2 linked regions of the Nothobranchius furzeri genome follow. The protein of the gene in region 1 interacts with the protein of each later gene in a pairwise test. Links are inferred from orthologs where the notes say so. Each region holds a gene or a part of one and is shown in the gene's direction. Other genes may lie near its edges.

The links.
Region 2: the proteins of disc1 (region 1) and fryl interact in a two-hybrid assay, tested with the Homo sapiens proteins (2 studies listed by BioGRID and IntAct). The link is inferred for Nothobranchius furzeri from reciprocal best matches to the Homo sapiens genes DISC1 and FRYL.

The regions. Positions count from the first base shown.
Region 1 is NC_091752.1:2,312,077-2,315,676, forward strand, and holds the start of disc1 (disrupted in schizophrenia 1 protein), read left to right. Parts: upstream 1-1,176; 5' UTR 1,177-1,396; coding exon 1,397-1,466; intron 1,467-3,597; exon of another isoform or gene 3,598-3,600. UniProt on the Homo sapiens protein: Involved in the regulation of multiple aspects of embryonic and adult neurogenesis. Required for neural progenitor proliferation in the ventrical/subventrical zone during embryonic brain development and in the adult dentate gyrus of the hippocampus.
Region 2 is NC_091748.1:39,410,118-39,413,939, reverse strand, and holds the start of fryl (protein furry homolog-like), read left to right. Parts: upstream 1-803; 5' UTR 804-1,035; coding exon 1,036-1,252; intron 1,253-3,822. UniProt on the Homo sapiens protein: Plays a key role in maintaining the integrity of polarized cell extensions during morphogenesis, regulates the actin cytoskeleton and plays a key role in patterning sensory neuron dendritic fields by promoting avoidance between homologous dendrites as well as by limiting dendritic branching.

The DNA.
Region 1 (3,600 bases):
CATTCCGACTTAATAATAATAATAATAATTATTATTATTATTACTACCCTTCTAGAGTACTTAAAGTCTCCAACTTCCAGATGTGATTCAGATCTGACCATTTTAGTTCTGTGTAATGTATGTGACAGTCACATGTAGGACATTTTGTTTAGTGTGCTTAAAAAAGCATTCAAACAAATGTTCAAGTTCATTAAACTCAGTCATATAGCATAAAAACAATTCACGTTTTATTTCGCACGATAGTAACGTTTCCTTTGAGGTTAGGCAATGACGTGCTGCCCTCCTGCGGCAATACCGCAGTACTGCATTACTAACGGAATTAAGATTTCAATTGCTGTTCACATTTATACAAGCAGCCGTGTAAAAAGTAGTAAAACAAATTCAGGTCTTACAAATAACCCAATTTTAAGCCATTCATTTGAATTAAAATGTCAGTAATGTAGACGAAAAGGAGAAAGAAGCTGCAGAATGAGAGAAGTTATTTGGATCTGACGTAGAAAACCGTATTGGCTTTAATGTGTGTGATTTAAAAGGACACCAGAAGCAGAGGTCCAGTCGGAGGCAGTTTGCTGATTATTGTGGGTGTGCATGTGAACTGAGTCGTTCATCCGCCAGCCGAGCGGAGTGAAAGGAGCCTTTGAAAGCGTGGGAAGAAGGACGGAGAGACAGCTGTGGAATCTGGAGCTTAGGAAAAAACTAAACAACGAAATAATTGTTGCTGTCACGTGAAACCACCGTTTAACACACAATTACTAACTTTAATTAACTCTTTTGAGTCCATTTTAATAACTGGATTAAAAATAATGACACTTTAATTGACTTTTTTCCGTTTGTTGGTCTGAAGTTAGGAATAAAAACAGAATTAAGCGCAGTATTTAGTTTAGTGGAGGGTCCTCTGAGGCGGGCCGGAGGAGTTTGGAGTCAAATTCCTGAACACGTATAGCTCCTCTCCTCTCCTCCTTTACGCCGCGGTTCTATGACGCATGACGCACGGGCACAGCGCAGCGACTAACGGATCCAACACTGGATTACCGTTCAGTGATCAATCTGCCAGCGCACAGATTAGTCTCGTTCAGCCGTCTAACAACCGGATGTTTGTCCAATCTGTGCGCCAAGGAAACGGATACAAGGATTTATGCTGCTGAAAACAAGCTGGCGGCTTTTTGTAACCGAGCCTTGCTCCAGAGTCCAGATCCGAGTCTGTCAGTCCGGATGTGTCTGAAGGAGCCGCTTTCTCCTGCTGAACAGAACTGAGTTAAAAGACAAAAAAACAGGGTTGATTTTCCACAACGGAAATGAGATCAGCTCCTTTCGCTTGGTTCCTAAAAACATGGTCGATGTAACCCTCCGGAACCGGGATCTCTGACTGACAACCGCTTTTAACATCCAAAACAAGATGTTTGCTGGACTGGTGGGACTGGAGGGTCACCGGAAGTCGTTGCACCACAACTGCGGAGTCACAGAAGGTAAAATCTGCTCTTGTTTTAGGTGTAACTTGTCTTTTCACACCAACTGATCTGGGATCTGCTGCGGTGAGTCCTCGTAGAGCTGTTTTTTAAAATGTGCAGCGAGATAAAAACAGGAAGGTTAGAAAACTTTTGTAAACGTAATCGGAGGAAAATCACGAATATAGAGAATAAAAACAATGTTCTCAGAGGTCATAGAGGTCAAAGGTTCCTAAAGGGGCAGGGATGATGGGGGATAAAAATATTTTGCCAATCAGAATAAACAATAAGACTGTTTGCAAAAAATGTTATCCAATTTCCTCAGAAACAGAATTATTCAGACACTAGTAGTGTTTTAGTTATTACCAGTAAACGCACGTGTGTGTTTATTCAGGTAAAGTAATATTTTTATTGTACTGTGCTGTTGGTCATAAATGTAAAATATGGGTTTAACTGGTGAGCATGTTTCAATCCCTATGGCGTTGTTGAAGAATGAACAGAACTGAAATGAAAAACAAACAACTACTAATTTAAAAAATTCTAAAAAACAAGCAGATTTTTTTTAATACAACGGTTAAGGTGGTGCTCACTCCTCACCCCTGCCACATGGACCCAAGGGATAAACCATCAACCCTGCTCAATGGTCAACTTTCCTCGTGGGGTCACACCCATTGGGACAGTGGGAGGGTTAAAACAGTTCTATGGTCGATACAAAACTTGAACTTGTACTAATTCTTGAGAGTTTCAGTACCTTCCAGAATGAGCCATTTCTAGGCTCTGTCACTTTAAAGAGCGAGAAACACCTATTCAACGTTTTTGCTGAAAACCTGTACAGATGAGTGTCTAATAGTCGTGTGTAGTCATTATTTAGGCAGTTTAGTGCAACTTAATTAAAATGTAAAATTTCAGCCCAAAACCAAAACCAGGGTTCCCCCCAGCGCCTTTCAAGCCTGGCAGGATGCCAGGCCTTGCTTGGTCCCCCCAGGCCAAGCATCCAGCCCCCACGCCCGTCTCCCGCTGTCACAAGCGACAGACATCTATTCTATTTACCCCATATGATGTCACAAACGGGAACTTATGCAAAAGTATTTTGTACTTCTGGAGCAGCATGATGATGCCATTAGTAGCACTGCTGGGGCGGAGACATCAGTTCCAGGGTTTGGACTCCAGGAAGGATACTTGTATGTTCTCCAGGTTCTCTGGTTTCCTCCCACAGTCTACAAACATGAATATTAGTAAGTTGGCAACTCTGAATTGTCCCCGGGTGTGTGTGTGTGTGTGTGTGTGTGTGTGTGTGTGTGTGTGTGTATAACTCCCACATGATCTTGAAAGAAAATTGAAACCGATAACTGGGAAATAATCGGTTGCAGTAACATAATATTTATGTTCAGAATGATTGAAATGAAAAATGATCAAAATACAAAAAACAACAGAGATGAATTCACCTAATGAGGCAATTTGATAGGTTGTGTTAGTGAAACTATGATGAGCTTGTAAAATTCAGTTGCCTTTTGTTTTCTAACTTTTAACGGGTACAACCCACTAATGAACGCATTAATGAAAGTATTATCGTTTTTAGTGGATTCTGCATTTAATTCTGCATTCTCACTCTGGTTTCCTACATTTGAAAAGTAATTCCTTCTCAGCCTGGACTGGTCATCCTTATTCAGAATAATTATCTTAATAATTTTTTTAAAATCTATTTCCTAGATTAAACATTTCTTTTGATGTATTTTTTGTTCAATTTGTTAGACAAAATAGGATATTTTTATGTTTATGAGGTGAAAACACAAAAGAAAAAAGCCCAGGATTCTGAAGATGGACCTGTTCGTGTTTATGTGACTCCTTTCTGTTCAGCTTTAGGTGTAAATTGAATGACTTTGAAGCGGTACAAGCATAATACATAAATACAGTTCCACTGCGGCACGACCCTCATGTGACCACACGGGAAGTGAAGCTCGGTGCCGATAATCAGTCCTGGAATTTCACACATGAAATTAGAGTTTCCTGTCAACTGAATGCTCTTGTTTTCAAATAGACGCAGCAGATTTTCACTTCCCCATTTCTGTGGCTGAAGCTTGTCACAAGTGGCGAGATGTTGCACATCTGTCTTCTCAGTGGGGTGCTGACATGCAGATGTGCTGGTGTGCTTCTG
Region 2 (3,822 bases), on another chromosome or scaffold:
CGAGAGTTTCATTGTTGAAATATCTTAGTATTTCATTGTTGTTGAGAACTGTTTGTTCTTGAATGGCTTATTAATTTTTGGAACTTGCATCAGTAAACATCAAATTGAAGATTTCTTTAGGCGGTGAGCTTTCCAAAAGCATCAGGACAGTGTACTCCATCTGAGTCTGCTAGAAGGTGATTCTTGCAAGGGTTTGAATTTGCTGCAGGTACAAGCTGTGCAGCTAAGCAGAGCGCACAGCTCCGTTTCCCAGACACCATCACTTTTACCATTCTGCTATTATTTGTTTTTATTAATAGCTCTGCAAAGTCAAGCAGAAGTGAAAGCCAGGCAAAGGGTGCTCTCGATATTTAACAAATGCAGCAAGAAAACAAACAGGAAACTTTTGTTTATGTGGAAATACAAACAAGTGACAATATTTTAACTTTGATAAGTATTATCAGTAAATGCAGGCAGACAAGTCAAGTCAGCTCCACGAAGATTTCCTACTTCTGGTGTCTGTCAGTCTTCCTGTTCCTTTCTTGGTCTCTGACTTAACAACACAGGCCAGAAAGGTGTGGCCACCCTCATTGCTGTTATGATTGGCTGGTAGCCTGGGTTGTGTTATCTCCTGTCAAACATGCTGTTGTCCCACCCCAGATAGGGCCTGGCATTACACTTAGCCCGGCCCACTCTCAGTTACATCACAACCTGTGGAAAGAGCCTTGCATTTTTGCTTTCTCTTTACCCTGAACGGGCAGGTAATGCTGCATTGAAGGAGGTGTCATGTTGCCTCGTGAGTTTCACCTCTTTGAGAAACTTTAGAGACCGTGTGTGTGTTTTAGTGAGTATGGGCCTGCAGATATATGCCCCGATGCAGTGTAATTGTAGCTCCGCTGCATGCCAGTAAACACTCGACACAGGCACTGGACTCTTTTGCCTGCTTCTCTGTAAATGGGGCAGATCGAGCAGACGGGTCGTTTGTGTGGCTGCATGGTGCGGCACAGGTGTTCTTACTTCTCACCAGAGTGAGAGATCTTTAAAAGTTCCGCTAAAATGGATTTTCTTAAGAGCCTGGTTCCAGCCGTGATCTCAGGGGAGGCACCTGTTGAACATGGGGTAATCTTACCCAAAGAGTCGGGTCCACGACTCCTTCGCATGAAAAGACTGGGTCTGCTCACCATGGGACAGACCATCGAAGAAGATCCAGTAGACCCAGTGATTAAAGTTCATTCAAGATTGAGCTCCTCCAGACCTCAAACCCGCGTCAAAGGTACCGAAAGCACTTACTAATGGTGGGTTAACTGGGTTGACCCAGTTGTTGCTGTATAGGTGCCTTTTGGAAATGACAGAGTAGATCTCTACTTGTATGTAATTAAAATAGTTTGATGCTGACTGACTGTGTAGACATTACCACAGTACTGAATGCAACTTTGTAGTACTGTATTTTATTTTCTGATTACCACCAAGTTAGATTAGCTTTGTGCTCCACCAAAGCCTAAATGTCAATTTGTCTTAGGTGTGTGTCCTGCTCTGTGTTTGATAATGCAAACACAGACATAGAAACGTTGCAAAATAGCAAGACTGTTAAATGGCTGCTCAGTCTCAGCTGGATTAAGACAAATCTTCAAAAGGAAGGCATAGTTGGTTTAAATAACCACCTTGAGTAAGCTTTAAAAGCAGTTATCAGCACAAAGTAATCAAGAATTTAGATTCAGTTTATCTACTTATATTACTCATTTCATAAGATTTCGAGCATTGCTAAAGGAGTTTTTCAGAGTGGGGTTATGTCAGAAGAAGGAACAATGGTCATCTGATCATCAGACCCAATCTTGAAGTGAGTGCCAACAAAACATGTTTGTTTGGTTAGCTGGCCCCCTCCTCAAACTAAAGACTTGTCCAAATAATAAACAGCAATCAGACAAAGTGGAGTTGGAGCCCTAAAAGACGTAGGAAGGGTGCTGAAGAGTACTGAGTTCAGTCAGGTTATTACAAAGAAAATAAACCTGTAAAGTAAAAAAAAAAAAAAAAAAAGATGCTTACAGCAATTAGCAGAAAATAGTCCTTTAGTATTTTTTATTTAATATTATTTAAGTGATTTCATGCTATGTCAAACTGCACATAAAGTATTTGAATTGTTCTCCATTTGTTTAATGAGTTTGAGACATCAAGATTTCAGTTAAAACTTCTCTGCGGTTTTAATTTACAAGTGGCTGAGCTCTAAAAGAATCATGGCTGCTGACACTGTTTTCAGCCCTTCTGTTTACTGTCAACACGCGTTTTCCTCAACTAAAAACAGTAAAAGTTGATCATATCAGAACTTTGCTTTTGTTCTGCGTAGCACCTTGCTGCTCGTCGTGTTCCAGAGTTGGGTAGAAAACTCAAAAAGTCATTCTTATGTCCCCCACACCGTGAACTATGAAAAGTTGTGTTAATATCGGTGTTTGCCATCTTACCCACAGGTTTTTAATTGAATAACATGTACATCTGTTTAAAAATCAAATAATCTAAAATGTTGGTCTGCCATGACAAATCAACTTCCTAATCTTTTAAAGATGAAGACTGAGTTTTTCCTGTGCTGAAGGACGCACTGAAAGCAAGCATTGAAGCTCCTTTGCAAAGCATTTGAAAAGGTTAATCTACTCTTAACGGGGCTGCCATCGGATACTTCCAGGTCACTTAACTCAGGAACCATCAAAGAAAAAATCACTTCAAAACCCCTTTGGTTCTATTTTGTTGTTTGTTTTGCCCACATGCAATAAAATGGTTCTTGTCATGCACATGATGCATAAAAAGGATGTGATATAAAATCAAAATAGAACCTGCTGTTATCTCATTAAGGTTTAATTAATGCTAGATTATGTTGACTATATTGTGTCTAGGTACATTTTAAAATGGCAGCACATTTGGTGTTTGTACTCTTCTTCGTTTAAATTGGCCAGTAAGAATTTGTGTAGATGTAAAGGTAATAGAACAATAAATCTATATTAATTAGGATCATAGTGTTCATCTTTGTGAGTCACGTTTGGTGGGAGATTTGTATCTGATAATCTATTATTCTGTTGCATTCTGACGCTTTTCAGAGAGCACGAGTTAAGAGTAGAAATAGTTTTAGTTGAGGCAGCAGCTAAAGGCTTACATGCATGCACACATACATGTTTATGTAGGTCAAGACCATTGAGTTTGATGCAATAAGATGATAACTTTCATCAGTATCTCCAAATCTGTTTTGCTGTGCTACCTGTCGGAGCATGCTGGCGTACCTGTTTGCTCGTGGCTAAAGCATGACTCAAACTCCTGCTAAACTCACCGTACCTGTTGGTATCTGAGTAAAGAACTAGTCAGGCTAACCACAACAACCCACATAAACACACTTTACTTTAGAGCTTTTGAATCTGTTCAGTTAGTATTTAGTCTTAACAGTTAATTTGAGGTAATTATTCAGTTTTTATTTTAGAATTTTTGATTTGGGTTTTTAATACTGATCATTGTTAGTTGCATAATTTTTTTTTCTGATGACCAATATAAAGCAATATATAGTGTGTGTGCGTGTGTGTACACACACTCACACACACACACGCACATATATATATATGTATGTATATATGTGTGTGTGCATGTATGTAAGGGCTGCATGGTGGCACAGTTGTTAGCACTGTTGCCTCGCAGCACGAAGGTTGCAGGTTCGAGACTCGGCTGCGACCTTTCTGCGTGGAGTTGCGTGTTCTCCTCATGCATGTGTGGGTTTTCTTCCGGGTACTCCGGTTTCCCCCACAGATCACGACATGCCCTATAGGTTATAAGTTGTAAGTCGCTTTGGATAAAAGCGTCTGCCAAATAAAT